Linked DNA regions of Pelodiscus sinensis. The protein of the gene in region 2 binds, or shares a complex with, the protein of the main gene of each other region. Links are inferred from orthologs where the notes say so. Each region holds a gene or a part of one and is shown on either strand. Other genes may lie near its edges.

Region 1 (7,435 bases), about 81 Mb from region 2:
CTACCACTCCGTACTGCTGCCTCTGTATCAGAGGCAACAGAGTGGGATGGCAACAGCTTTTTCCCCCCTATCTGTGTGGTTGAAGGAATGTGGTGTAGGCTTTATGGTGAAGTCTCCATGTTAGCTCTCCCTTCAGGGCAGACAGGGTAGTTTTTTCTAAATTGTTGAACACTTACTAACTTTCATAAGATGTGAGTGCCCAGTATCCCTGGGGGGTAAAAAAAAAAAAAAAAAGATGAAAAAAAATCAAAAAAAAATCAAGCATTTGGTGCCCTTGTTCACTTTACAGACAAGATGTAGAGCTAGTAAAAAGTCCTATATTTAGGAGACAGGGAAAAGCAAACTAAACCCTGTGAATAGTTACATACATAACTGTATCAGAGAGGTAGCCATGTTAATCTGGATCTGCAAAAGCGACGAGGAGTCCTGTGGCACCTTATCAACTAACAGATGTATTGGAGCATAAGCTTTCGTGGGCAAAGACCCACTTCCTCAGATGCATGCGGTAGAAATTTCCAGAGGCAGGTATAAATATGCAGGCCAGAATAAGACTAGAGATAACGAGGTTAATTCAGTCAAGGAGCGTGAGGCCCACTTCTAGCAGTTGATGTGGAGATGTGAACACCACATCAGCTGCTAGAAGTGGGCCTCACGCTCCTTGACTGAATTAACCTCGTTATCTCTAGTCTTATTCTGGCCTGCATATTTATACCTGCCTCTGGAAATTTCTACCGCATGCATCTGAGGAAGTGGGTCTTAGCCCGCGAAAGCTTATGCTCCAATACATCTGTTAGTTGATAAGGTGCCACAGGACTCCTTGTCGCTTATACATAAATTTAGGCGCTACCCCAATAAAGTCAATGCATAAGCACTGAGGGCCTGTCTACAAAATTAGGTCAACCTACAGCCACCACAGCAATTAAATCTGATATCACTGATCATGCTACCTTCTTCCTACCAGTGGGGCACCGACAGCAGAATTGAGTGGCACCTGTATTCCTGGGGCTTGAGGTCAATTTCATAGCAGAAAGCTTACCAGTAGTGAAATGGACATTCTTGTCCGTTTTATGGCTGCTGTTATTTCATGCCCTCTCCAGCTCTGACTGTCAATACCAGGGCAGGAGGCTCAAGGTATGAGCCCGGTGCCCAGCTGAATGTGCAGGAAGTGTGGGGTAGCATCAAAATGGTGCCTGACTGACATGACAGCTCAGGCTGTTAGCACTGGGGCTTGGTCTCCAGTGTCTACACAGATACGGTGCTACCTAAGCACCATGTCTCTCACAAACATGGAGTTATTAAGTTGATGTAGTGGGTGATTTACAGCAGCAGAAGCATCACTGCAGTGTAGACAAAGACAGTTAGGTCAACATAAGACACCTTATGTCACTCTACTTCCCTAGCATAGACCAAGTCTCAGTAACTGTTTGCAAGATCAGGGCCAAGGACCATAAAGAAATACTTACCCTTCTGTATATTCTGCTTGGAGAAGGCCAAGATATGCTTCCCACTTATTTCCAACTATTTTGCCACAAGTGAAGCATCTGACGGGAATAATCATTTTCTTGCAGTGACTGTCAAAACATTAACCAAATAACATGGTTACCACTTACATTTACATCTTGGAATGCATTTGATGTATCTGTAAAATATCATTACGTAAGTTTTTCACACTGGGCAAAAGGGAGGTGGGAATTTCAAGAGTACAACACAGCTGAAAGGGTCAGTTCAGGCACCCAAGTATAAACAGTCCTGTTTATTTTATTCACACTCCTGGATTGTTAACCTCATATAAGAGCATCTATGCATTAGTCTTTCAGTTCAGACACCGATAGTTAAAGGCTATGGCAAGTTTCAGTTCAAACAATTTTAACAAAATCCTCTGATGCTTTGCCCACACTTAGAGTGAATAGAGAACAGGCATTACAGACCTAAGTAGTTATGGTGGTGGAAGGCAGGGTGCACTCTCATTCCTCGTTTGTATGCACCTACACAGCACAGTGAAAGGCTTGGGCAGCTCTCCATTGCTAGAGCCTTTCCCTCCAATAGTGAATGGTAAACTTGCTAAGAGACCCATGTAGGTAGGACTCTTGGGTCACCTAGGTAAGATCTTTGACTTGTTTAAGCAGAGCATAGGCACCTATGTGCTACAGGCTGCCCTGTCAGTCCAACCTGGATTAGAAGTTGAGAAACAAGGGGGCAGTAGCTGAGTGGATCAAGTGCCATATCCAAGCAGCGTTTTGCAGGCAAGGCGGGGAGGGGAGGCAGCTGCTCCTGGCTGGTTTGTTCAGAGTAGGGATGTAAAATCCCATTTAAATCAGCTAACCGGTCAGATGTCACATTTAACCGATTAGCCCGGATTCCCCCTGCCAAGAAGGGCACGAGCAGCCCCCACCCACTGCTCCAGCCCAGCCGGGCCGGGCCGGGCCAAGCCAAGCCCGCGGCGGCGGGGGAAAGGAGGGGGGAGGGAGCGTGCCAGGCAGCTGTTAGCCAGTTGCATCTCCAGTCAGAGCAGGCACAAGAGGCGGCGCCGGGTTTCAGGATTTTCAGCGAGACCCCCCCCCCGGGTCCCTGAACTCCGCACCGCTTCCTCACGGGCCCTGGGCTCGCGGGAGCCGCGCGCTCACACGCACCCACGCTGCGCTGGCCAGGGGCCATCTCGCCACGCGCCGGGAGCTCGCGCGCGCAGCAGCCGGACACTCGAGGCTCCCGGGAAGACCGTTGTGGCGCGCGCGAAGCCAGAGACCGGGGGGACGCCAGTCCCGGGGGTGTCTCTAAGGCCAGAGCGCGGGTCGTTCCCAAGCAGGTTGAGGGCCCCGGGTAGTGGGGCCCCTCAGGGGAGGGAGCCCGCGGAGCTGGTGGTTGGGTCTATCGCTGTCCCGTTACCTCAGCAGGCCGCGCGCCGCGTCCGGGAAGTGCACTCCAACTGCAGCAGACTTGTCCTTCTGCCGGCGATACCACTCCTCCCTATTTGGTGGGGGGGTGTTCCGTACCCAGGACGCAACAGTGCCACCGGAGATGATAGCGGCCGACCTACGGCCTAGCGCGTTCAGCTCCCCGGCTTCGGGATGGTACGTCCCAACTCGACGGCGTCTCCCTTGGCCCAAGATAGTCTCGTTCGGGGAGCGTTCGCGATTCGCGTGCGCGGCTGCGGCGCTGAGTGGCAGCTGGCGCTCTCGGAGTGTTCAGCAGCCTCCGCAGTAGCTGGAGCAGCGGAGCCCAGAGGCTGGCGGCAGCTGCGGCAGCGGCGCAGTGTCAGGTATCGCTCTTCCTTTCTTATGCTTCTCGTGCGCTCTCCGCAGCGGGCGGACACTTGTTGCTCGGGCTTTAGTAAAGGGACTGAGAAGAAGTAAGGTCCCCCTCCCCAGCTAGTGCTTGGGTTTGTGCATGAGTGGAAAGTGCAACTGGTGGCTGCAGCTCGGCACCAAGTTGTGCGCCTGGTGGTGGGGCAGCAGGGAGGCGAGGGAGAGCTGGAGAGGGGCTTCTCCTGGGTCCTTCAGGGGATTCACCAGCCTCTGCTGTTTCAGGGCGGGGAGAGGTAGGACAAGACGCGGGGTGTTTCTGGGTACCGCTCGCTGTGGGATGCCTTTGTCCCTAGGGCTCGGGAGTGATTTGCGAAGAGATGCTCCCAAGGCGGCTTGCAAACAGTGATGACACGCTAAGAATTAAAAACAAAAACCCCGCAACCAACCAAACAACAAACCCCACAGAGTGCAACGTGGAGAGACTTAAAAAACACAGACAGCCACACAAAAACTGCCCTTGGAAATTAATCCAGCCTGGTTTCACAATGCTGCCTAAGACTTTATTAATACCGTGCTTTCGTTTCCTAAGGGAAGGAGTCTCTATCCAAGCCAGATTTTATAGAGCTGATATTTGATGCCCCCCAAAACCCTTATTCTGTACAAATACAGATCTTTCAAGAGGAAGTAACCATCCCAAAGGTAACCGGAGGTGTGCCCCAGGGCACCCTACTGTTGCAGAGAGGGAAGTCTGATGTGCTACTTTACATTTCAATAATTTTTGTATTAAATGTGAAGTTTCTGAATTTGGTCACCTACAAATAATTGTGGAGGCATTTGTATAAAAAAGGCATATATTCTGCCAATTTTAAAGCGGACATCAATTGTTGATAGCAAGCAAATGGGGTTAGTGGTTACTAATAATATGTAAAAGTTTTAAATTAGAAATTATTTAAAAAATCCAAGTTACTTGTCACTGTGTACAGTTTATCCTTCTCTCAGCTTGACTGAAGCAAATCAGTGTGGATTGTTTTACTCTTGTTTATTGTCATTTTCACTTCCATGTTGTTAGTGGTGAATTTTTAATCCTGGAGGGGGATATTTACTGGTTCAAAACAACCGTTTTAATTAAAAGGGAAACAAAATAGGGAGAGTTATAATTATTTTAGTTCAGTAAGAGAGTTCACTTTTACATAATCTAAATTAGAGCCAATTAAACTTGAAAATGGCCCTATAAGGGACAGATGTTAATGTGACTCATGTTGTTAATATAAATTTAAAAGACAATGTGTGGCCAAAGCAAGAACGTTCTAATTTAACACTGGCACACACCATTCTTGGCCCATTTCCTTGTGCCTAGGCAATAGAACTCCATCATGCACTGTTAGGAAGCATCTGCAATATCTAGGGAAAAGGACAGGGAAAGAAAGGGTCATGCCCCACTGAGAAGGAGTTGCAGGGCTGGGTAGACAAGGTGAAAAACGATCACGCTGTGTACACCAAAACTTAAGAGGCTTTTGGTAATGTGTTTTTGTTGTGCTTAGAGAATGCAAGCAGGTATAGTTGCTACCTGCTTTGAGGGCACATTCTTCTGTTTTGGGTAGGAAGGTTGTGGGATAGAGAATCAGTATGAATATTGATCATTTTTACTGCTCACTTGTGTTACAACATTAACATTATGCTAATTTTCTTTATTTGAAGTGGTAATTTTCTGAAGTTATCTGAGATTTAATACAAAGCATAGTGTGGTCCCATTACTGCCCAGCATATAAATAATTGTCTTAATGCTCAGCTTATGTTAATACATCTTTCGTGACTCTTTTTTAAATACATGGATTATTGACCCAATACACACAAACTCTGGACTGAATCTGAACTGTAGAAGAGCAAATACTTCCATTATAACAAATGGGTTTTGGGATTGTTTATAAGTGGTTTTACAATTCTAAGCACTAACAAACAGACTATTATTTTGCAATCCCAGGAACAATAATTATCTTCAATAAGATAACGGAACAGAATGAATTGACTTGGCATCAATGCGAACTGCTGCCAGCCATAGATTCTTAGGCCAATGAGAACTGTTTGCATGTTTATTGTATATTTTTCTCCTTTGATTTTGTGTCTGTGGTGAATTTAGAGATTGTGATTTGATACCTTTTTAGGACTGGGGCTCTACAGAAATTCTCTCGCAGAACTGTGAAGTGTATTTGCAGGCAGAAAGTAGGGAGGGAGAGTGAGAGGGGAGGTACTGGGTTTTCGTGGCAGAGTGGCAACACTACAGGTAAGTCCAGGCTTTGCCTATAAGTTGTGGTAATTTTAAGGAAGACAAAACTGAATTTGACAGCAACTTTGAGTTAATTCTCAGCTGCTGCATCATAACATAAGAATGGCCATACTGGGTCAAATCAAAGGTCCATCCAGCCTAGTACCCTGTCTGCCAACAGTGGCCAAAGCCAGGTGTCCCAGAGGGAGTGAATCGAACAGGTAATGATCAAACAATCTCTCTCCTGCCATCCATCTCCACCCTCTGACAAACAGAGGCTAGGGACACCATTCCTTATCCATACTGGCTAATAGCCATTTATGGACTTAACCTCCATGAATTTATCTAGTTCTCTTTTAAACCTTGTTATAGTCCTAACCTTCACAACCGCCTCAGGCAAGGAGTCCCACAGATTGACTATGCGCTGTGTGAATAAGAACTCCTCATGTGCATCTTCATCAAGAAAACAGCACTGTGCTCTTGCCATAGTGTTACTTTTAACATTAGAGGTGTCCTGTGTGTACAGCCTACCCTGGCTGTGTGATGGGCTTAATGATCTAATACATCTCTTATGTCTCTAATGACTTTGATCCTATGAAATTTAAGTATTGTTGTTTTCTGTGAACCATATAGACTGCTACATTTGAGAACACTTTATGCAGAACGTTGCATGTCCTTTGTTTTCCTGAGTGTATTTGCCTGCCAACCCACAACGGGCTGTTTAAAAGATTTGTGTGTTGTGTTTTAAGAAGCAGAGTCAGTAAGGTATTAATCTTGGCACATTTTTATTAGGGTGATTTTTTGCTACCTTATTGGGTGGAATTCCCCATTTCCAGCACCTCTAATCTTAAGTGTTTTATAGGTTCTAATACCAAACCGTACTCTTTGGTGCTAAATTGAATTGGGTCTTCCACATAAATATCTCCTTTTGCAAATACTGGAGTTCTTTATGCTCCTAGAAGTGTGTGGTTACATCTCACGCCAAGAAGTTTTCACGCTCTCCCATTCTCCAGGTCTCCTACTACTATCAGTAAGTGGCACTCCCCAGATCTTTGTGGCTTTGGACTGTTATTGGAGGTTGTAGGATGCAATATCAATTGTAGATGAGCCTCTTAAGTTCATTGTTCGGGAGCACTCTGGCAGGGTCACTAGTAGTGAACCATATGAAGCAACAGGTTCAGGGATTCTGCATGAGGTTCTGACTGGCTAAGTTACTTCTTTGAGGAGTAAAGAAGTGTGATGCCAACCCCCTCCAAAAATGTGTGTGTGGGGTATATCCTAAAGCAGACTGCCCATTGTGCTGCTTTGTTGTGAAACTGCAGACATATGTATAACCTGCCCTCTGACATATGCATTACATTTCTTAGTTACATTTAGATTATCTTTGCTGTTGGCATAGCTTTCAAAGGCTACTGGTGTTTGCTTTGCCACTAACACTCTTGGGGTTAAACACACCTTGAGGACTTTGGAGGGAGGCGGACCTGCAAAGTACAGCTGGGCTGAGGTATAAAATACTATAGCAATGACCCATTATATCCTACATGTTTGTTTAAAAGGCAGATGTTCCTTTCTACTCTTTCCTGTAAAGCACTTTCTGTGGAATATTGCAGTCTGCTGCTCGTTGCCCAGGCCACCTTTGCTTATCCAATGAGAGGATTAAAGAATATTCAGCCAATTAAGAGACCTGCATGCACACTCCCTAAAGTGGTTTATAATGTGTTGAGGGCAAGTGAATTTCTGCATCTAGCCATGTTGAAAAGCTGTGTCTTCTGTGACCTTCTCCTTTTGTAGTTTGTACTGCAGGATGGTGGCTTAATATATGCCTGCTCCTCCTGCTGGCAAAGTTCAGAAACTGAAGGCATGTGTCTGAAGGCTTTCTTTTCATAATCCCTTGGGGGGGGATGAGGGGAGAGTGTGTGTGTGTGAGATT
Region 2 (7,497 bases):
GGGTTTGCTCGCGGTGCCCCTGGTCTGCTGGGGACCGTCTCCAGCAAACCAGGGGCACCGGGAGCAAAGCGGTCCAGCGCCAGAGCAAAGCCTCAGAGGCGAGGCACCCCTACCTCGAGTCCCATCTTCACTCCTTCCCCCTCACCTACTCCGAGTCCCCCCATCCCCTGCCTCCAGCCCCCCCACACTTGAACACCTGCCCTGACTCCCCTACACCCAACCCTTTGCCCTGAGCCCCCACATTCTGCCCTCACTCCAGAACCCGGCAACCTAAGCTCCCCAACCAGTCCCCTGCCCTGACTCCTGCACCCCATCCACTATCCTGAGGCACCCCACCCCATATCCTGATCTAGGGATACGAAGGTTTAACCAATACTCCTTGTGGGTTAAGATGAACAGATGAGGCTGAAGCAGCTCTCCATCTGCTGCAGGTAGGGGCTGCTCCAGCCTCACAGGGGGCCTGCTATGGACAGGCAGGGGCTGCTGTGACTGGGATGCTCAGAGCAGTCCCTGTCTCTGAGGTGCCCTGACCCGGTCACAAGGAAGAGCTGCTCCATTGTCCCAGTCAGAGCACCCTTTGTCCGCAGCCCCGCAGGGTACCCTGCAGGCAGGGACCGGCCAGGCTGCAGCAGAGGGAAGGAGGGAGGGGTGTCCCCTCTCTCTCCCCCAGCAGTGGGAAGGGGGAGCACACCCATCCTCCCCCTTTTAATCGATTAAACAATATGTTTAGCTGGTTAGCCAATTAAAGAGGATTTTACATCCCTACCCTGAGCCTCTGCCCTAAGCCCGCCACACATCTCACAGCTCCCTGCCCTAACTCCTGAACCAAGCACCCCACACACTCAACCTCCTGCCCTGAGCCCTGTCATTTAAGTAAAGCATGTACTTTTTTTTAATTTAAAAAATTACTAAAGACCAAGCAATGCCAGGTACATCTGCTAGTACTACATAGCCTAAGTAGGTCTTTGTTACAAAATAATAAACCCTGAAACTATCAATGTGATTACAGTCTATGCTCTTTGAATGTCTGCTGACATTTATTCTCACTACATGCCACTTACTGGACATATAATAAATTGCCATGTACAGAATAGCTGACTAATTTCACTGACTGAAACCAAAAGAAAATACAAAGGCAACAGACATCCTTTTTCACATACATAAGCGTGGCTCTTATGCTATAGAGGGCTACCTGGTATTTAAAATCTGATGCAATAAAATATTTGCACAATTGATATTATGTTATGTCCACAAAAATTATGAAAACTTTTAACAAATTCTAGCTCTTCCTGGAGAGTAATAACATGTCTGCACAACCTTCAACTTTATTATCTGGAACAGATATTTTAAACTACATTAGACTACAATATGTTGCCAACATTTAAACATGTAAAACTTCACCCTTAAGTAAACTTTTGCTAAGTATCATTAAATAGCTAGCCTCAGTTCTCTCTATAAAATACTAGATAAGAATAATTTTATTTCAACTACAGCTTTACCACAGCAGAAAAGACATGTAAGAGGGCAGACATTTATATACTAGGCACTATTTGTTGCATTGTTTAATAGCTAAGGACTCCAGATTACTTTCTAAATAGGGTGAGGATTGGTGCTCCTCCACTAAACAACACACAAAAAGGAAAGAATACTGCCTAATTTAGAAAAGATCAATCATCAACCTAAATAAACAGAGTGATAAGCAACTGCTACTTTAAAATTCCACAGCTTCAACAATTGGGATTACGAACTGCAGACTAATACGGAAGGGACTAATAGCTAAGCAGAAAAAGCAGGAACTGAGTGACAAAAAGAGCGTGTCTGTGTCTCTCTCAGTCTCTGCCTCTGGTGCATGCACCTCCCAGCAGCTCTCTCCCTATTTAAAGGCTGATGTGGTGTTTAAATGGAGAGGCGGTGACGTGGGGCTGGAAAGCACCTTCCCATCCTGGCAGAGTCTATATTAGAGAGCGGCAATGGCTCTATATAAACAGGGCAGTCACAGGGAGGAGGAACACAAGGAGCAGGGAGACAGAAAGGCAGGGGAAGCCATGATGGATCTCACAGCGAAACACAAACAAGGGGGCCAAGCCTGCACCGTAACCGCCCGGACTGGGGTTTGTCGGCAGCTTTTCGGGGGTAGGCTTGTGGATGGGTTTATTCTTGTCAGAGGGAAGGGAAAGAAGCGATCGGTGGGGCTTGGCGGCTACAAAGATTTATGTGACTGCTTATTGCACATCTATGTGAATACAAGTAAAACAAGCCACCGCCGAGAGTGCAGAAAGCACAAGGGGGAGGAAGGGGTGAGTTGTTCGGGTTTTTTTTAATTACTTCCTTGCCACGGGGAAGAGACTGGAGGGGGGTTTCTCCTCCGTCAGCCGAGTCTGCAGGGCTGGGACAAGTGCTTTTCAACCATTGCCTCCTTCTTATAAAGCTACATAAAATGGCTCCAGCAGCGCCAGGCTGAGTTCGCCTCCACATACGCCACCCGCCCGCCCCCTCCCCCGGCACAGGAGGCAGCGCCTGGCTTCCCCGGTAGCCTCTCCCCCCAGGGGAAGCCGCTCGCCCCCTCCCCAGCCGCCCCCCAGCCTTGTGGCGGTGCAGGCGACGGAGACACTCGGCTCCCCCCTCGGCGCTCCTGGCTGGGAGACAGGCTGCTGCCCGCCGCCGCCGCCGCTCCCGTCCCACCCCGCCGGCTCTGGCGGGTCCCGGCGCCGCTCCCCGGCAGCGGCGGCAGAAGTTGGTTCCTGGTTGGGGGGCGCTGCCCCGCTCAGGCCGGCCGTTCCCGCGGCGGGGCCGGCCAGGGATGGCGGGGGGCTCTGAGGCCCGCCTGTCGCCCGAGCCCCCCCGCTCCCTCCCCGTCCCGGTCCTTACCACGGGGTTTGTGTTAGACGAGCTCGCCATGTCCCGAGCCCCCCGGGACACCCCACCGCGGCGGAGTCGCCCCTAAAACAATAAACCTGCCCGGCGCGTCCCCCCGACCCCGCGCGTCCCGCCCCGGCGCACGGGGAGCCCCGCGGCCTGGCCCGGCCTCCTTCGCCGGCCCTCGGGCTGCAGCCGCCGCCGCCAGCCGCCCGCTCTGCCCGCTTCGCCCCTTTATATAGCAAGAGCCGAGCAGCTGCGCGAGCGGCCAGGGCGAGAGGGGGACGCGGGCGGGGGGAAGCGAGGCTGCGCGAGAGCTTGTGGGACCGAGCTCCGCCCGCCTGAAGTCACGTGGGAGGCTCGCCCTGCCGCCATGACACCTACTGAGGCGGAAGTAGCGAAGAGGTCACCTGCGCGCTCCCGCTCAGACCTAGCGAGGCGGAAGGGAAGGTCCTGGACGCTTAGTGCCTGTGCCTGGTGCTGCAGCCAGGGGCTCATGTCCGCTGCGTGTGTGCTCCGAGATGGGGCTTGCGGGGCATCCGAGAGCTTCTCCCCGGGACACGGGCGGCGATTCAGCCTTGTAGTCGTGGGGAGGCGGAGGCTGCAGGGCGCTCCCTGGCCGAGATGCATTGGTAGCATCGCCTTTTGCATCAGTGTGTATTCTAACCTGCAGCCCCTGATCTGTGCTCGAACCCGGCTTGTCTCCGGCATCTGTCTCCATAGAGCATAGGAACAGTGGATGAGAGTGAGTGGTGGTAAATTTAAAAAAAAAAATCTAGTAAAGGGACTTACATTTTTCTGTAAGGCTTAATTAATTCCCCAAAAATATCGATGCTAAGAGCTAAGCAAGATTTTAAAAGACATTAACAAAGCTTTTCATGGTTACTTTACAGAGGATAACAAGAAAGGGATATGAATTTTTATGTCTTTCATCTTACATTTAGGCTAGTGGTGGGCAGTCTGCAAGCCGCATGCAGCCCATCAGAGTTCTATGAATGACTTATGCATAGTGTTGCCTGATTCTGCTGGCTTCTGTCTGCATAAATTTTTTTCCTACAGGTATTACTAAAGCGTTTTGCACGTATAGTAAGGGCGCAAGAAGTACGTTCTGATTGCACACAACGTTGACTGTGAGAGCCATGTATTCCCTCTACATTCAAACCACTGCAATCAGCAATCTGCACACCCCACAAATTATAGGTGAGCAAGCACTCAGCGACAGATATAGGGCAGGGCGAGCGGGGTGGCTGTCCCGGGCCCCGTGCTTCCAGAGGCCCCACACATGCGCTATGGCGCATGCGCTGTGTCAAAGCGGGGGGGGGGCGTAAAATTGTGTTGCCCAGGGCCCTGCAAAACCTTCCACCCTGCAAGCACTGTTAGCAAAACTACCCTATCCCGAGAATCCATTTTGGTTACAACAATCTTTCAGCCTACTGAGATGGAGGGTCTCTCATGCAGCCCACCTACTAGCCCAGGTTGCCCATCACTGATTTAGTCTATAAGATCCTTGAGCCAGAGTCTATGTTTTTGCTCTTTGTTTGTACAGTCAGGCCCGCTGACAGATGAGGGTAAAGGGGGCAGCTGTTCTGAGCCTGGCAATTCAAAGGGGACCACTGCTGTCAGCCACTACCACAGAAGCAATAGTGGCTGGAGCCCCAGGTCCTTTAAATGATTGCTGGAGCGCTAAACAGCATGCTCCAGGCAGCTCTCAGCACTGGCAGGGGGTGGAGAGGCGAGCACAGTGTGCTCTGGACGGTGCTGATGCCTCCAGCTCTGCCCCTTTTGCCTGAGGCCCTTCCCCGTCCAGGAGCATGGAGTTATTCTCCCCACTTTATTGAGGAACCCAATAAATCTGCTTCCCCCCACCCCCATCATATACAGTGGAGTGGGTCCTGGACCATGACTAGTCCTGTTCAGTTCTACAGTTACACAAATAATAATAATGATAGAAATGTAGCAGTGTTAGTCTGGTGTAGCTGAAACAAAATACAGGACTATGTAGCACTTTAAAGACTAACAAGATGGTTTATTAGATGATGAGCTTTCGTGGGCCAGACCCACTTCCTCAGATCAAATAGTGGAAGAAAATTGTCACAACCATATATACCAAAGGATACAATCAAAAAAATGAACACCTATGAAAAGGACAAATCTAATTTCAGAACAGAAGGGGGATGGGGGGGTGGGGGAAGGTAAATGGTATGGTAAATGGTATCCTGGAATGGGGACAATGATAATATTGAATATTTAGAGCATGTAGTTGCTAACAGGACCAGTGAAAGAAATCTCAAATTGTGTATCTTTTTCTGATTTAACAGTGCTGTCTAGATGTAGCCAGTGTCTGCTGAATCAGAACAGCCCATAGGGATGAATACATCTTGAAACAACAGCTCTAAGATGTGTGAATTTTTCCCTTCATCTCAATGAGTGTACCATCCCCATTCCCGAAAGCTTGAGTCTCTATGATATGCATTAAGCATGTCTGCTCTCAACTCTTCATCCCCATTTCAGCTGTGTGTTCTTGACACGTGGCTCCTAACATGCCTGATCTGAGCTCCCCACCCAGAAGGACAGGGCTTCCCTAGATCTCCAAAGCCCCCTCATTCTCCTCCACTTGTGATCCAGCACCCTCAGGTCTTTTTTAATCCCCCTCCAATTTCCTTGAGTCCAGTTATCAACTCTCCCAGCCCCTATCCAGTGACCTCTCCTGGCCCCACGTTCCTATCCATCCTTTTAGCCCTGTTTGGCCCTCACTAATTTGATTCTACACCCACACCCACGCCCCAAGTCATCCCATATTTCATGACCCTAGAAGGCAAGGGAGGCCAATAATTAATCTGATGCAGAGCTACCTACCTGATTCTTTTATAAAAAGCTGCATGCCATCCTCCAAGTCTCATGGATACTTTAGAGGAGTCCCAGACACAGCCCCTGCTATGAACAGCGAGGAGAAGCATGGGGGACTGACTACATGCAATCCATCTGTGTGGCAAGTCAGGATGTGTTTTTGACTCCATTGCAATCCAGCTACTCCTGATACTCAAATGCAAGTGAGCCTAATGCAGGGGAAAGAACTTCTTATAAGTATGTAGTTTGCTGTTGATTTACTCTTTTTTCCATTTCTGCTAGAAGTAGTAGTGAAACAAACCAGAAAAGTAGAGTTAGCAGTGCGGTGTTTATGTGCAATGGGATATCCTGTGAATCTTCCATAAAGATCTCAGTAAAGCTTTCATGGAGGTACTCTGCAATCCTCTGCCAAAGACTCCCAGGGAGGGCTGCCTTACTTCTCCCACCATGGCACAACACTCTCCCATGCCATTCAGTGATTTAGTAGGTATCATAGCACACAGACTAGCAGTATCTGGGCCTGGGTAGCAATGAGACACCAGCAGCAGCTGTGCTCTCTCTGTCCCTGTTACCTTCAGGAGTGAGATATCAGCCAAAGTTGACACCACCCAAGGAAAACACTGTGGCTATGTCTAGACTGGCATGATTTTCCGCAAATGCTTTTAACGGAAAAGTTTTTCCGTTAAAAGCATTTGCGGAAAAGAGCATTTAGATTGGCACAGACACTTTTGCGCAAAAGCACTTTTTGCGGAAAAGCGTCCGTGCCAATCTAGACATGGTTTTGCGCAAGAAAGCCCCAATCGCCACTTTCGCCATAGGGCCTTTTTGTGCAAAACAGTTTTTATCTGTCTACACTGGCCCTCTTGTGCAAAAGCATTTGCGCAAGAGGGCTTATCCCTGAGCGGGAGCATCATAGTATTTGCGCAAGAACACTGACAATCTTACATTAGATCGTCAGTGTTCTTGTGCAAATTCAAGCAGCCAGTGTAGATAGCTGGCAAGGCCGCTTTTGCAGAAAAACTTACCAGTCTAGACGCAGCCTGTTAGTATTAATTTTCCATTGCTCTGTACAGTGGGATGGGCAAGAATTTTTGATAGGGGGCCACTCCAAGAATTTGGTAAGTGGTCAAGGACTGCATTCTTCTATATCAACAGAGATGCGGGATCTGGGATGGAAGTTGGGTGCAGAGGGGAGTTTGGGGAAAGGGATTGGGGTGCAGAAGGGAGAGTGGGGTCTGGGAGGGAGTTTGGGTGAAGGAGGTAGTTGTGACCTGGGGCATTGGTCTGGGGTGCAGGAGATTGGGATGTGACCTGGGACAGGAAGGAGTTGTGACCTAGGGTCATAGTTCCCACTAAGGTGCATGCCTGGGCGGCTGCACACAAAAAAATTCTTCCCCCGCCAACCTGTTCTGGAGAGCTGCACAGGCAGCTGCTCTGGAGGGCAGGGCCAGCTGAGACACCATAATGAGGGAGCACTAGGGCGGGGGGAGGTGGGAGCAGCTTGCTCTGGTGGCCAGGGCTTCCACGTAGGTGGGGAGGGGAAACGTTTGTTCTCGTGGCTGGCACCAGGAACAGGCCCTGCCTCATAGTGGAGTGGGGGGTGTCTGCTCCAGTGGCTGGGAATGGAACATGCTGCATGGAAGGGGGGGTTGCTCCAGCGGCCGGGAACATGTGTGTGTTAATAAATTTGGTGCCATGGTGGCACACATCCAAATCAGTGCACATGACTTCAAAAAGCCAAAACTCACTCTGCTTATGGTTGGAAAATCTTAGAGGGAACACTGCCTAGGTTGG
Region 3 (7,199 bases), on a different chromosome or scaffold from region 2:
CTATGTTCCTGAATTCTGTCAATAGTCTTATAGCTGACTCCTCCCAGAGCTGAGCTGGTTCAACATCTATGTTGTTCTGCTGAAGGGCCATTACCGTAACACTGTGACTTGTTTGGGGAAGATCAGAGCTTCTGGAACAGCAGGATAGGGTGATGGGGCACTCCAAAGGGCAAGTCGGCAGGCTCAGTGGCATGACCAGCACACCAGGTGACAGCCCAAAGGGAACCTGTCACACACTATTCTCAGAAGGTGTGGAAGTATTGGGGAAGTTTATAGGGCAGGGCTTAAACTGGTGCAAATGATTATAAATTGTCAATGGATTTCAATGGAATGAGGACAATTATACCTAAAAGCCTGCCCCAGTGTCAGCGAAGCCAATATGGAAAGGAGGAAAAACCTGGCCTATTTGATTAAGGAGGATATGAATCTCTTTGGCAGTGTAACTCTTATTAGGTTTTTTCTCTGAAACTGTTCAGCACCTTTTTCACTTTGTTACTGAGTCATTTGCTGACAAGATCGAAGAAAGAGCAGTCCCTGGATCAGTTTTCTTTCTGATAAAATGTCTGTATCACTCATGGTTTGAATGAAAACTATTATCCATCATCTCTTTTTTGCCTGGAATGGGCTGAGCTATGGAGTTCAGATCCTGATCTAAATCTGAATTTTCCCAGACTCTGGAGTGTTCAAATTCAGTGTCCCTTATAGAGATATGCCTCAGGTATCACAGCATCCAGAACCAGAAGACATTCAGATTCCACAGCAAGAGGTAACGTATAAAAACATAGATCCACAGAATTCATGGAGGGGAGCTGGAGGATACATACAGTGTTCTGGTTTTGGTCCATCTATAGTGCTGGTGAAATTCTTTTAAAGGCCCAGTTAGTAGTAATAATAGCTTACATTTAGCTAGTATCTTTTATTCTGAAGATTCTCAAAGGCCTTTGTGAACTATATTCATACAGCAATCATTACTGATATAGCCTTTGAGATGACAAATAGCTAACAGAAAATGTGCACGTAGTACTCAGAACAGATGAGAGTAGAACTAAAATACTGCCCAATCAGTGAGCAGATACAAAGCCTTGCTCTTATGAAAACTGCCAGGAAATCCTGAATTTCCATGCTGAGTGGATAGGATTTCAGGTTTAAGGTAGGGGTGTGAAAAGAGTTAGAAGCAAGTGAAGAAAACGTACTTGTTGAATGTTTGAATTAAACATATATGGCTATCTTCCAGTAAATGACAAAATATGTTTTCTCTCATTTGGTTTACCTGTACTTGGCACAGGATGCAAAGAAGGAAATAATAAGTGGCTTTTTTGTTGCTGGCCAGAGATGCTTTGGTCCTTAATACAACTCTAAGCAGCTGCAGGGATGTTCTATGTTACCTGTGGTCTCCAAAGAGCTATACTGGCAACCAATGATTAGTGAGCCATAGCAATACATTGGCTATGCCTCTTTTCACTCTGGGAATAACCTTTACACTAATTGTTGGAGGGGAGGGGATAGTATAGAAGTAGTGTAGTGATTCTACAGCACTCTGGAGATTTTCCCTACATGGAAAAACTCCTCAATTGGCCAATTAAGTTGAATTTACAGTCCCTCTGTGTCAGCAAAACTGTACAAATGAGCCAGTGTGGTGATGAATCTGTCCTTCTGTCTCTTAGAGCAAGTTTCTTCTGTTCTATTGTTACACACCCACATTATGGAAATATTTTGTCATTAATATTCAGTGAGCACCATCTACTTTGTGTATAAATCCAAACACAAGTCAAGAGCCATCTGTTTAATATAATTCAGCATTTCAGTTTTGTGTGATTATATCTGATCTGTTTGACCTACCATGTCAGCGCTGTTTGTTAACTGTAATTTTACCTGATGTGGGAAATTCTAGGATGCTTGTGAAAAGAAATGTGTGTGTATGCGCATACGCGCATATATACATTCCATTGTATTGTAAAATAACAATTCATGCATGCTATGTTTTATTCCCTTTCTACATACAACATCTCACTTTCCTGGGGATTTCTCTGAGTAAGGGTAAATACTGAAAAGGTATGTTTCATTAAACATGCTAGGATTTGCAAAACAAATCCTCATTTTTGGGAGGTTGTTTTTTTAGCTTTGGGAGTATAAGAACTATATTTAATCATCCTGAATCTAAAATCTACAGCACTGGCTCAAGGAATCTTGGAAACCTCAGGGTTTATCTTGCAGAATTTCCTCTGTACACTGGCCCCAGGAGCAAGAAGTTTTAGTGACCTGAGGGAGGCAGAAGGCATAGTCTTCATCCCTGTAGATCAGTAGTTCTGGACATTGTGACCAACTGTGTGCTAGATCTTTGTGACAGGTGAAAACTTCTCCCTCTTAAGTATGTTTTCATTGCCTTCTCAGCCTGCATCTATGCCACCCTTACCCCTTTCTAAGAGGGCTGCTGACATAGTGCAGGTTGGACAGTGTTAACTCCTCTGAGTATATTTTCCCCGATATCCTTTTGATTCTGAGGGAAGCATACATAAGTTCACTGTAGTCCACAACAAAACTCCTATTAATTTTAATGATAATGCCGTTTTTTTTGTCCGTCGATTATTTTTATCTTGCAAATCAGTACTGCCAGTCCTAAGACTTCAGGCAGCACTGAAAGAGGCTTGTTACAGTGCAATCTCTTGAGCCCACTTGGTTATATGAAAAATTCAGAAGTAAAGGCTCTGTAATTTAAAACCTAGTAATGTATTTCCCCTGATTTTACATTTATTGTATATAAACAGGAACAGAAATGGAAACACAGAGCTCAAACTCTCAGCTACTGGCTTCCGATTCTTCATCTATGGAACAAAACACTGGAAAGTGAAACATAAGGTTAGGATTTTAAATAAGAAATTAATGAAAATGCTTCTTTATTGCCCCACTTAATGTAGTTTCCATGGAAACAGGACTGGATAGGCTGCCTGTAGCTGGAACGGAAAATTCTGCCTTGTCACTTTCTGCTCTGAGCCACCAGCTGAGCCAATAACACTGCCATATTTTTCCTAGTTTTTAGCACCTTACATGAAAACAATGATTTCTCACAGAGCAACTTAACTGGCCAAATTAGTATTGTTAGCTAAGTTTGTTACTTGGGCATTTAGCCTGTTTACTTATACTACTTAACTAACATAAAAATTTAAAAGGAGGAATGTAATGCATATTCAAATTACTAAATCACAACACCAGATTACTGTCAATGTCACTTGAGTTGAAGAAATTAATTCCATGTCATTTTTAAACAGTGGGCAGGTGCAACCTGAACATATGGTTTGAGCTATTTAGACACAACTCCCACCATTCACTTACTGTTTGGTTTTAACAAATCACATTGGGTCATATTAAAAGATGCTGAACTCTTCCTACTTCATTGTGCTCATCCCTTCACAGGCTCAGTACCTAAGCCTCAATTAACAGCATCTGTGAATCCTGCCTGGGGCAAAACTTCAAGATACTGAACATCCTCCCTACTGTGTTCAAACAAGGGCATCCACACACAACCTTTCCCCAAAGTAAGTGACAGTGGGAATAGAATAATAGTTTACAAATAACTGGTTTTCAGATAGACAAACCCTTCATTTCATTTTTGGGCTTTCGGAGATGCAATGTCTGAGTTTCAAACATGGAAGTGGGTGATTTTTTTGCTTAAATACACCTATTCCCTTAAAGGTTTTTAACTTAATGAAAGCTTGCTTTTAACCTGAGTTTTGGGCTAAATCTGAGTTGACAGCCTGTTTCTCATCTCCTGTCCAGGCTCTGGGGATGCTGCAGAGTGGCTGGCTTTTACAGGAATGATGGTAACCCATTATTGATTCACACATCGGCTTCCCCCCTGCTGCTGGAGTAGCTACCAGGTTGTTTCTATGATAATCAGTAGGTAATTTCCTACCAGCAGGGCACGGCCCCACTCCAGGCCTGGCACCTCTGAGGGGTCACGTCTGTCTCCCCCCACATACAGCTCTGTCCCAGGAAGGAAGCACGGCCAGGAGCCCAGCTTCTCCAGGGCCCTGTCACTCAAGCTACCAGGGGGCGACTCCCCTCTAGGCGCTGACCTGCCAGCTTGGGGGTGTCCCCACCACAGTCAAACCTCCCTGCAGCGCGCCGGGCGGCCCCTAAGCCCCCCAACACCCGGGGCGCCTCCCCCGCCGCCAAGTGCCAGTCGCTGCCCCTCCCCCTCCACGCCTGCCAAAGGAAGCGTGAGGGATCAGGCCTTTTCTCGGGGGGGGGGAAGGGAGGCACTCCCTCCTCGCTCCGCTTTGCCGCGGAAGTTTGGCAGCGCCGGGCCGCCGTAGACGGGGTGAGCTGTTGATTCCTGTCCGGCTGGATGCAACGGCCATTGTGTGCGGGCGCCTCGAGCTCGTTCCGCGTGTCCTCGCGCCCCTCGCCCGGGCCGCCATGAGCGAGAAGGGGGAGCTGGACCTGACCGGGGCCAAGCAGAACACCGGCATGTGGCTGGTGAAGGTGAGAGGCCGCGCGGGTCCCGGGCCCGCTGCTGCTGCCGCCGCCGGGACGGGGCTCGCCTCCAGAACGCAGCGCGGCGGGGAGCGAGGGGCTGGGGAGATCCCCTGGGGAGGGCCCCCGACGGGCCGGTGGCGCTGCAGACGGGGCCTGGCGGCTGAGGCGGTGTCCCCGCCGGTGCGGTGCGGCCTGGCGTGACCGTCCCTGAGCGGCGCCGCTTCCCGCCGGGGCCCGCCCGGCGCGCAGGAGACTCCCCTTGGCCGCCCCCACGGTCTCCGGCGGGTCCCGCGCGCTGCTGCGGCCTCCCTGGAGCTGCGGGGACCCCGCCAAGCGCGAGCCGATGCAGAGTCAGCGGGCAGGTGCCCCGGCCTCTCGCTGCTTTGTCAGGCGCCGTGCCCAGAGCTGCGAGGCGCCAGCCCCTTCAGTGGCCGCGCTTGGGAGCAACCCCCTACCGCTCTGTTTCTGTGAGCACTGGCGAGGGGGACAGGGAACGAGACAGTGTAATTGCCTCTCTATGCCAGTAGCATCATGGAAGCCTTGGCAGAAAGAAGAGAATTAATTTTTCCCTTTTCTGTAGCTGGGGTGTGAACTTTAGGCTAGACTTAAGACACTGTTGGGTGGGGATGGATGAGGCTCCCTAGGCACTGTCCCTGGCTTACACCCTGCTAGGAATCACATCGTACTTTATCTTCTAAGACCCTGGGCTACATCTACACTGGCAGCTTCTTGCGCAAGAGCTGTTTTGCAGAACAGTTCTTGGCAAAAAGTCTTCCACAAGGGAGGCTGTGTCTAGACTGGCAAGCTTTTGCGGAAAAACTTGCGAGCTGTCTACACTGGTCACTTGAATTTCTGCAAGAACACTGACTTCCTACTGTCTGAAATCAGTGCTTCTTGCGGAAATACTATGCTGCTCCCATTCGGGCAAATGTCCCTTTTGCGCAAAAGGGCCAGTGTAGACAGCTCAGATTTGTTTTGCGCAAAAAAGCCCCTATTGCGAAAATGGCGATCGGGGCTTTTTTGCGCAAAAGCGCGTCTAGATTGGCACGGACGCTTTTCCTCAAAAAGTGCTTTGCGGAAAAGTGTGTGCGCCAGTCTAGACACTCTTTTCTGCAAATGCTTTTAACGGAAAACTTTTCTGTTAAAAGCATTTGCGGAAAATCATGCCAGTCTAGAGGTAGCCAGAGTGTCTACACTGGCATGTCCTTTTGCACAAGAGATGTGCTTTTGCGCAATAGCGTCCATGACAGTGTGGACGCTTTCTTGCGCAAGAAAGCTCTGATGGCCATTTTAACCATGGGGCTTCATGCACAAGAAATTCATGTTGCCTTTCTACACTACCCTCTTGTGGAAGAGCTCTTGCGCAAGAGAGCTTATTCCTCATGGGGAGAGAAATAACTCTTCTGGAAGAAGCCCTGTTTTACAACGCTATACTGTAAATTTACTCCCACAAGAATGTGCGTGCAGTGTAGACAGCAGGCAAGTTTTTGCGCAAGAACAATTGTTCTTGCGCAAGAAGCTGCCAGTGTAGACATAGCCCTGGGGTCTTATCTGCATTAAGAATTTTCAGGATGACACAGTAGATGAGCTTCAGGAGATAGCCAAGTTAATCAGTTACAGAAAAAAACAACAAATGGTCTGGTAGCACTTTATAGACTAACAAAACATGTAGAAGGTGGTATGAGCTTTCGTGGGTGCAGCCCACTTCTTCAGATGATCAGAGTTATGAGTAGGGGATATGAAAACTCAAAATAAATAGGAGAGGGAGAAGAAAAAGAAAAAAAGAGCAGCAATAGAAATTTTCAGAAAAATCCTTAATATAGACATAGTCAAGGAGTGGGCTTGTCATTAGGTCTTGGAATTTGCTCTTTCGTGTCAGTTTCTGGATGGATTTTGCCCATGAAAGCTCATGTTACCACCTACATGTTTTGTTAGTCTTTAAGGTTCTACTAGACTATTCATTGTTTAAGTTTTTCTAGTTTCTGCGTAGTAGGTTTTATGAAGCCTTGTTGAAAATGGGTTGATCCTACCTGTGCTAACCAAGGAGTTTTCAAATGAGGAGATGAAGATATAAGGGGGACCCTAGGCTGTGTCTAGACTACACTGCTGTGTCCACAAAGAGATATAGATTAGTCACGCCGAAATTGCTAAATATCCGGCACTCCATTAGCATGGGCTCCCCACCCATGGCCACGGCTTTTTTTTTTTTTTTTTTTTTTTTTTTTTTTTGAAGCGGGGCTTTTTTGGGAGGGGGGAAAAAAAGCAGTCTAGACGGGGATCTGTCGAAAAAGGCTTTATTTTTCAATGGATCCCGTCTAGACTGACTTTTTTTTGAAAAAGCTCCGTTTAGAAAAAAAGCAGCAGCCATGTTTATGCTAAGGAAGCATGGGATATTTAAATACCTGCTTCATTAGCAATTTCGACATGCCTAATCTACATCTTTCTGTCGACAGAGAGGTATAGTCTAGATACAGCCCTAGTGTTCATATTGATTATTAACAGAACTTTCCTATGTATACTCTGTATAGGAGGAGAACTGGAATAGCAAGAACTTTTTATGATTCTTCACAGATAGTTGATGACATGATGACATGACTTAAAAATGACTTCCATGACTGGTATGGACCAAGTCTATGGTCTTTTAACATTTTAATTCCTTTATATAGTAGGGATGTGAAAAGGTTATCTGGTAACTGCTGCAGGCAGGGGGCTGCTTCAGTCTT
Region 4 (7,778 bases), on a different chromosome or scaffold from region 2:
CTAGACACACCATCCCTACCCATCCTAGCTAATGGAGAAGGGAATGAAGTAAGATGAAGGGGTAGCTCTGGAGACTGGGGCACAGAATGATGAGGGGTTTGGAACGGGTCCCATAGGAGGGGAGATTAATGAGACTGGGACACGTCATCTTAGAACAGAGGAGACTAAGGGGGGGATAGGACAGAGGTCTGTAAAATCATGACAGGTGTGGAGAAAGCGAAGGAGGAAAAGTGATTTACTTGTTTCCATCACATAAGAACTGGGGGCAAATGAACAAATGAAATGAACAGGCAGCAGGTTTCAAACAAAACAAAAGGAAGTTTTTCTTCACACACAGTCAACCTGAGGAACTCCTTGCCAGAGGATGTGGTGAAGACCAGGACTTCAACAGGGTTCAAAAAAAGAGCTAGATAAATTCACGGAGGACGGGAAGTGGTGCTGTCCCTGGCCTCTGTTTGTCTGGAGGTGGGCATCAGAGGAGGGATCATTTTGATGATTCCCTGATCTCTTCATGCCCTCCGGGGCACCTGGCATTGGCCGCTGTCAGAAGACAGGATAAGGCTGAATGGCCGCTCTTATTCTTCTCCCCAGCATGAGGGGCAGAAAGCACAAAGGCGAAACGTACCAAACCAATGCAAGCTGGGAACAAGGGCCGACGGGAGACCAGAGCAGAGATCTCCAAGGGGAGGGAAAGGTGACAGGTCAATGGGGCGAGGCAACACATTTGTGGGTGGTCTCAGCCTGCGAGCCTCAACTCTTGCGGGTGGCCGCTCTGACAAGTTTTTCCTAAAATACTTAATTAGCTCCAGGGGAAAAAAACCAAATAAATACGCACAGCTCCACCTCCCAGTCACTGGCTCTTTTTTATGGTGCCGGGTTTGGTTTGCTTTGCTTTGCAGGCTCAATAATACAAATATCTATTTTTTACTGGGCCTATGCGGATAAGAAACACAGATCAGGTGCTTTGCATGTTCTTGTCTTACGCTCTTGTTTCTTTGGTGGGTGGCTTTCTTTCTGAAGGCTTGCTAGCTGCTCAGTCTATTCCCATGAAAAGGGATATTTGCATGCTTGTTATGATCGCTTTTCAGCAGGGCAGCTGACTGGCTCACTGGCTGGGGCGGGGGAGGCTGCAAAAAGTGATTTGAGCAAACATACAACAATCCATTTTCACAAAAGACTTGCTCAAATGAAGGGGGACAAACGGAGCCCTGGATGGGGAAGTGGGGGCATGGATGGGGGGCCAGGAAGGCAGCATATGCGAGGGGAGGGCTCGGAGCCCATAGCCCCACAGCTGGAGCAATGTCAATCCAATGCTCCCCATCAGTGTTCCCTCTAATTTTTTCCATCTGTGTGTAGAATACATTTTGTGCCATGCACCACGACATGTACAGATGTGCACCACCAGTCGAAATACATGCTGCCGGCTAGGGGTGCTCTGCTAATCAGCTGGGAGGTGTCTGAATCTTTCCTGGGGGGCCGCCCAAGGGCTCAGCTCACAGGGTCCCCATTCAGGCCCCTTGCTCCCTGGCCATCTCCCGTCTGCCCGACCTGCTACTGGAAAGGACCCCTCTCTGTCCCCACCTATATCCCTAGGCTCTGCCCCCACCCACCCGGGGGGGGGGGGCTCCCTGCCCCTAGACCCCAAGCTCCCCTCTCTGCCTCCACCACCTGTATCCCATGGGTCTGCCCCCTCCCATCCCAGAGCGCCCCTGTCTGCCCCCATCTATAACCCTAGGCTCTGCCCTCCCCCTCCCAGCCCACAGGGGCCCCCTTTCCATCCTGAAGCTCCCCTTTCTCCCCCAACCAAACCCCTAACCCTCCCCCCTCAGGGCACCCTTTCTGCCCCCAGACCCCCAACTCCCCTTTCTGCCCCCATCTATACCCCTAACCCTCCCCCCACAGGGTCCCCTTTCTGCCCCCAGACCCCCCAACTCCCCTTTCTGCCCCCACCTATACCCCTATCCCTCCCCCCACAGGGTCCCCTTTCTGTCCCCAGACCCCCCCAATTCCTTTCTGCCCCCACCTATACCCCTAACCCTCCCCCCACAGGGTCCCCTTTCTGTCCCCAGACCCCCCCAACTCCTCTTTCTGCCCCCAGCTATACCCCTAACCCTCCCCCCACAGGGTCCCCTTTCTGTCCCCAGACCCCCCCAATTCCTTTCTGCCCCCACCTATACCCCTAACCCTCCCCCCACAGGGTCCCCTTTCTGTCCCCAGACCCCCCCAACTCCTCTTTCTGCCCCCAGCTATACCCCTAACCCTCCCCCCACAGGGTCCCCTTTCTGTCCCCAGACCCCCCCCCAATTCCTCTTTCTGCCCCCACCTATACCCCTATCCCTCCCCCTACAGGGTCCCCTTTCTGTCCCCAGACTCCCAATTCCTCTTTCTGCCCCCACCTATACCCCTAACCCTCCCCCCACAGGGTCCCCTTTCTGCCCCCAGACCCCCCCAACTCCCCTTTCTGCCCCCACCTATACCCCTAACCCTCCCCCCACAGGGTCCCCTTTCTGCCCCCAGCCCCCCCCAACTCCCCTTTCTGCCCCCACCTATACCCCTAACCCTCCCCCCACAGGGTCCCCTTTCTGTCCCCAGACCCCCCCAACTCCCCTTTCTGCCCCCACCTATACCCCTATCCCTCCCCCCACAGGGTCCCCTTTCTGCCCCCAGCCCCCCCAACTCCCCTTTCTGCCCCCACCTATACCCCTAACCCTCCCCCCACAGGGTCCCCTTTCTGTCCCCAGCCCAACTCCCCTTTGTGCCCCCCACTCACACCCCTAGGATCTGCCCCCTTTGTGACTCAGCCCCCTCTGTGCCCCCCATATCCCCAGCGCTGCCCCCCCCCCGCCCGGGGACCCACCTTCTCTCGCTCCTGCGCAGCGGCCCCTGCCGGCTCCCTCCATCCACCTGCCCGCGGCTCCACGCGGAGACCCCCCGCGAAACTCCCCTTCCCGTCATGCAATGCGACGCCCCCTGCTCTGCGTGGCGGGGGGGGGGGCGGATAGGAAATGAGCAAAGCGTTCGCTCCCTGCGCTGATTGGCGGGCTGGGGGTGAGGTCACAATGCGCGGGGCGGGGCGGGAGTTGCGCGGGGCTGGACAATGCCAGGTGAGGTTGGGGGGGGCGGAGTAGGAACCAGGACTCCTGCCCAGGGGGGGGGGGGGGGGGGCTGGGAGTCAGGACTTTCCCCAGAGCTGGGAGGGGAGCGGGGTCTAGTGGTTAGAGCGCGGGGGAGCCAGGACTCCCGGTTCTTTCCCCAGAGCTGGGAGGGGAGCGGGGTCTAGTGGTTAGAGCGCGGGGGAGCCAGGACTCCCGGTTCTTTCCCCAGAGCTGGGAGTGGAGTGGGGTCTAGTGGTTAGAGCGGGGGGGGGGGGGCAACAGCCAGGACTCCTGGGTTATTTCCCTGGAGCTGGGAGAAGAGTGGGGTCTAGTGGTTAGAGCAGGGGGGGGGGGGTGACAGCCAGGACTCCTGGGGTATTTCCCTGGAGCTGGGAGAAGAGTGGGGTCTAGTGGTTAGAGCAGGGAGGGGGGGGGGTGACAGCCAGGACTCCTGGGGTATTTCCCTGGAGCTGGGAGAAGAGTGGGGTCTAGTGGTTAGAGCAAGGGGGGGGGGTGACAGCCAGGACTCCTGGGGTATTTCCCTGGAGCTGGGAGAAGAGTGGGGTCTAGTGGTAAGAGCGGGGCGGGAGGGTTGAGAGCCAGGACTACTGGGTTCTCTCCCTGGCCAAGGGGGGGGGCAGATGGGTTAGAGAGGGGTCTGGGAGTCAGGACCCCTGGGTTCCTTCCCCAGAGCTGGGAGGAGAGCAGAGTCTAGTGGTTAGAGCGGAGGGGCAACAGCCAGGACTACTGGGCTCTCTCCCTGTCCAAGTTGGGGGGGCAGGTGGGTTATAAGGGGGCTGGGAGTCAGGGCACCTGGGTTCTTTCCCCAGAGCTGGGAGGGGAGTGGGGTCTAGTAGTTAGAGTGGGGGCTGAGAGCCAGGACTCCTGGGTTCTTTCCCCGGAGCTGGGAGGGGAGTGGGGTCTAGTGGTTAGAGTGGGGGCTGGGAGTCAGGGCACCTGGGTTCTTTCCCCGGAGCTGGGAGGGGAGTGGGGTCTAGTGGTTAGAGTGGGAGCTGAGAGCCAGGACTCCTGGGTTCTTTCCCCGGAGCTGGGAGGGGAGTGGGGTCTAGTGGTTAGAGTGGGGGCTGAGAGCCAGGACTCCTGGGTTCTTTCCCCGGAGCTGGGAGGGGAGTGGGGTCTAGTGGTTAGAGTGGGGGCTGAGAGCCAGGACTCCTGGGTTCTTTCCCCAGAGCTGGGAGGGGAGTGGGGTCTAGTGGTTAGAGTGGGGGCTGAGAGCCAGGACTCCTGGGTTCTTTCCCCGGAGCTGGGAGGGGAGTGGGGTCTAGTGGTGTGAGTGGGAGGAGGCACCGGAGGCAGAAAACACAGGTCCCTGGGTGTTAAATCCTGTCTCCTTCTCTGTGCCCAGCAGGTGCCTTCCCCAGCCCTGTGCTGCCCCCTCACCAGCCCCTGTGTGGGGTGGGAGCTGCCAGGAGACGGGGACCCACCCCCCAACCAGCAGGTGGTCCGAGCCACTCACATCTGGACATGGCGCCCAACTGGCTTGGCTCCGGCACCGGGTGGATTCTGAGCTCCCTCCGCCGGCTGCTGCTCCGGGCTGGCCCCCGGCCCCCAGGCGCCCCGTGTGGATGGAGAACCTCCTCCCAGGCTAGTCAATCCGACCCCGAGGGGCTGGAGCGGAAAATGACCCAGCTCAGGAACAAGGCGGAGAAGCGGCGGCGGCAGCGGGAGAGGCTGGAGTCGATTGAAGCCGGAGTGGCCCGGAGGCAGGAGGTAGGGGGCGCTCTCCTTGCAGTCAGCGCTCATCCCAGGACCCTGTCTTCAGTGAAACGAAACACTCCCTTGTGACGCCAATGCAGCTGTGCCACCCCAGAAGTGGCTGCATTTTTGGACCCCGAGAACAACCCCTAGGCAGCGTTGCTGCAGGCTGTCCCCCGGCCACTCCACCCCAGAAGTGGCTGCATGGTCAGTCCAGAGCAACCCCAGCGTAAATCTCCTCTGTGATAAATGACACACCCGTTAAATATCTTCTTGTTCTGTTGCGTGATGAAGTCCGGTCCATGCGTTCGTCCCCAGCAGGGTGCCTGGTTCATACCTTGCCATCCTTTTGGGTGTCTTTGGTGTTTCCCCAGGTACCTCAGGGGCAGGGTAAGGCGTGGGCCCCGAAAGAGGTGGTTCTGTACGACATCCCAACTCCCGCTGGTCAGAAGAAAGGTATGCTGGGAAAATATAACCCCTCTACCCCCCGGGCCTATAAAGATTTTGTGAGGGGCCTCTCTGGTCGTGGCTCACCGAACGCTGGCTCTCTCCCTAGACACGTCCCTGCCCCTGCCGGCCTCGTACAGCCCCCGCTACGTGGAAGCCGCATGGTACGAGTGGTGGGAGAAGGAAGGATTCTTCAAACCCGAATATCAGGTAAAAACGTCCCCCTGGGATCAGAGGCCCATCACTGGCATAAGTTGTGGCAGGGCTCAAAGCTGCCCTAGGGGGCGCTGTGCTGCAGGGAGCTCAGTAGGGGGCGCTGTCCCCTCACAGTCAGTGCAGGTCGTCCCCCTTCCGGGAGGCACCAGGGGGCGCTGTGCTGGGAGGAGCGGGGGGGGCAGGGCGTCTCACTTCATCCGTGCTGGCCCCGATGCAGCACTAGGGGGCACTGTGCTGGTGAAAACAGCCTCTCTCTCTGTGTCTCAGAGCCGGCAGCCCCATAGGAAACCAGACGTCTTCTCCCTTTGCATCCCCCCGCCCAACGTCACGGGGTCCCTGCACCTGGGCCATGCCCTCACGGTGGCCGTCGAGGATTCGCTGGTGCGATGGTGAGTTGGGGCTCGGAGGGGTGGGGAATGGGCCGTGCGGCCTTTCTCCACTAGGGGGCGCTGACTCCAGTTTGCGGGGGCCTGAGGCCGGCTGCGGCACACAGAGGCCCTAGCGTGTGTCTCCTACCTGCCTTGCAGGCGCCGGATGCAGGGCTGCCGGGTGCTCTGGGTGCCGGGATCGGATCACGCCGGAATCGCGACTCAGGTGAGCCCAGAGCCGCGGCTTCGGTGGAAGGGTTTGTGCTGTCGGAGGAGGAACCCCGCTTCCCCAAGCAGCAGCAACAAATGCCCAAGGGGTCCGGTCGGCAGAGCCGCAGCACTCTGGGCGGGGTGGGTTTTCACACCCCTGAGGGACGGAGCTAGGTCAGCCGAAATTTGAAGTGTAGGTCAAGCTATGGTGGAGGGAATCGGCATGGAAACGCAGCCATCTCTGGGGTGGAGCACCTGGGGGGAACAGCTCCCAGCAACTCTGCACAGGGATTACTCTTGTAGCACAGGAATGCAGCCAGCTCTGGGGTGGGGCAACTGGGGAGAGGGAGAATAGCCCCAGCAACGCTGCTCAGGGATTGCTCGTGTAGCATGGAAATGCAGCCAGCTCTGGGGTGGGGCGACTGGGAGGGAGGGGGAATAGCCCCAGCAACGCTGCTCAGGGATTGCTCTTGTAGCATGGAAATGCAGCCAGCTCTGGGGTGGGGCGACTGGGGAGAGGGAGAATAGCCCCAGCAACGCTGCTCAGGGATTGCTCGTGTAGCATGGAAATGCAGCCAGCTCTGGGGTGGGGCGACTGGGAGGGAGGGGGAATAGCCCCAGCAACGCTGCTCAGGGATTGCTCGTGTAGCATGGAAATGCAGCCAGCTCTGGGGTGGGGCGACTGGGAGGGAGGGGGAATAGCCCCAGCAATGCTGCTCAGGGATTGCTCTTGTAGCATGGAAATGCAGCCAGCTCTGGGGTGGGGCAACTGGGGAGAGGGGGAATAGCCCCAGCAATGCTGCTCAGGGATTGCTCTTGTAGCATGGAAATGCAGCCAGCTCTGGGGTGGGGCGACTGGGAGGGAGGGGGAATAGCCCCAGCAATGCTGCTCAGGGATTGCTCTTGTAGCATGGAAATGCAGCCAGCTCTGGGGTGGGGCGACTGGGAGGGAGGGGGAATAGCCCCAGCAACGTTGCTCAGGGATTGCTCTTGTAGCATGGAAATGCAGCCAGCTCTGGGGTGGGGCAACTGGGGAGAGGGGGAATAGCCCCAGCAACGCTGCTCAGGGATTGCTCTTGTAGCATGGAAATGCAGCCAGCTCTTGGCTGGGGGCGGGGGTTACAGCCCCCAGCAACGCCACGCAGGAATTGCTCTCGTAGCACAGAAATGCAGCCAGCTCTGGGGTGGGGTGGCTGTTTCTGTCCTGTGTGTGTGTCCCTCTCTCTGGTAACCCTCCCTGCTCCCCTCCTGGCAGGCGGTGGTGGAGCGCAAGCTGTGGAAGGAGCGGGGCGCCCTGCGCCAGGACCTGACCCGAGGGGAATTCCTGGCCGAGGTCTGGAAATGGAAAGAGGAGTGAGTGCAGCCGGGCCGTCACTGACCCGAGACTGGGCTTGGCAGTAGTGGGAAGCGGCCCTGGGCTGCACATAGAGCGAGACAGAGGCTCAGAGGGGGTGCTGGCAGTCAGTGCTGCCCCAGTGTGGCACTAGGGGGCGCTGTGCTGCAGGAAACAGTCTGAGGGCCCAGTAGGGGGCGCTGTCCCCTTGCAGTCAGTGCTGCCCGAGTGTGGCACTAGGGGGCGCTGTGCTGCAGGGAGCAGGCTGAGGGCCCAGTAGGGGGCGCTGTCCCCTTGCAGTCAGTGCTACCCCAGTGTGGCACTAGGGGGCGCTGTGCTGCAGGAAACAGTCTGAGGGCCCAGTAGGGGGCGCTGTCCCCTTGCAGTCAGTGC

The links.
Region 1: GTF2A1 (region 2) and POLR2L share a complex: the UniProt entries of both Homo sapiens proteins name them as parts of the TBP-based Pol II pre-initiation complex. The link is inferred for Pelodiscus sinensis from reciprocal best matches to the Homo sapiens genes GTF2A1 and POLR2L.
Region 3: GTF2A1 (region 2) and GTF2F2 share a complex: the UniProt entries of both Homo sapiens proteins name them as parts of the TBP-based Pol II pre-initiation complex. The link is inferred for Pelodiscus sinensis from reciprocal best matches to the Homo sapiens genes GTF2A1 and GTF2F2.
Region 4: GTF2A1 (region 2) and GTF2H4 share a complex: the UniProt entries of both Homo sapiens proteins name them as parts of the TBP-based Pol II pre-initiation complex. The link is inferred for Pelodiscus sinensis from reciprocal best matches to the Homo sapiens genes GTF2A1 and GTF2H4.

Annotation. Positions count from the first base shown.
Region 1 is NC_134714.1:119,981,912-119,989,346, reverse strand, and holds the start of POLR2L (DNA-directed RNA polymerases I, II, and III subunit RPABC5), read right to left. Parts: upstream 3,018-7,435; 5' UTR 2,884-3,017; intron 2,774-2,883; exon of another isoform or gene 2,631-2,773; intron 1,572-2,630; 5' UTR 1,559-1,571; coding exon 1,464-1,558; intron 1-1,463. Other genes in the region: TSPAN4 (tetraspanin-4), read left to right, coding at 3,066-3,256. UniProt on the Homo sapiens protein: DNA-dependent RNA polymerase catalyzes the transcription of DNA into RNA using the four ribonucleoside triphosphates as substrates.
Region 2 is NC_134714.1:38,763,604-38,771,100, reverse strand, and holds the start of GTF2A1 (transcription initiation factor IIA subunit 1), read right to left. Parts: upstream 3,009-7,497; 5' UTR 2,899-3,008; coding exon 2,869-2,898; intron 2,298-2,868; exon of another isoform or gene 1,819-2,297; intron 1-1,818. UniProt on the Homo sapiens protein: TFIIA is a component of the transcription machinery of RNA polymerase II and plays an important role in transcriptional activation. TFIIA in a complex with TBP mediates transcriptional activity.
Region 3 is NC_134711.1:286,841,321-286,848,519, forward strand, and holds the start of GTF2F2 (general transcription factor IIF subunit 2), read left to right. Parts: upstream 1-4,194; 5' UTR 4,195-4,416; coding exon 4,417-4,482; intron 4,483-7,199. UniProt on the Homo sapiens protein: TFIIF is a general transcription initiation factor that binds to RNA polymerase II and helps to recruit it to the initiation complex in collaboration with TFIIB.
Region 4 is NC_134742.1:11,749,490-11,757,267, reverse strand, and holds the start of GTF2H4 (general transcription factor IIH subunit 4), read right to left. Parts: upstream 3,003-7,778; 5' UTR 2,858-3,002; intron 1-2,857. Other genes in the region: VARS2 (valine--tRNA ligase, mitochondrial), read left to right, coding at 3,098-3,104, 4,462-4,826, 5,186-5,267, 5,368-5,468, 5,742-5,863, 6,002-6,068, 7,308-7,405. UniProt on the Homo sapiens protein: Component of the general transcription and DNA repair factor IIH (TFIIH) core complex, which is involved in general and transcription-coupled nucleotide excision repair (NER) of damaged DNA and, when complexed to CAK, in RNA transcription by RNA polymerase II.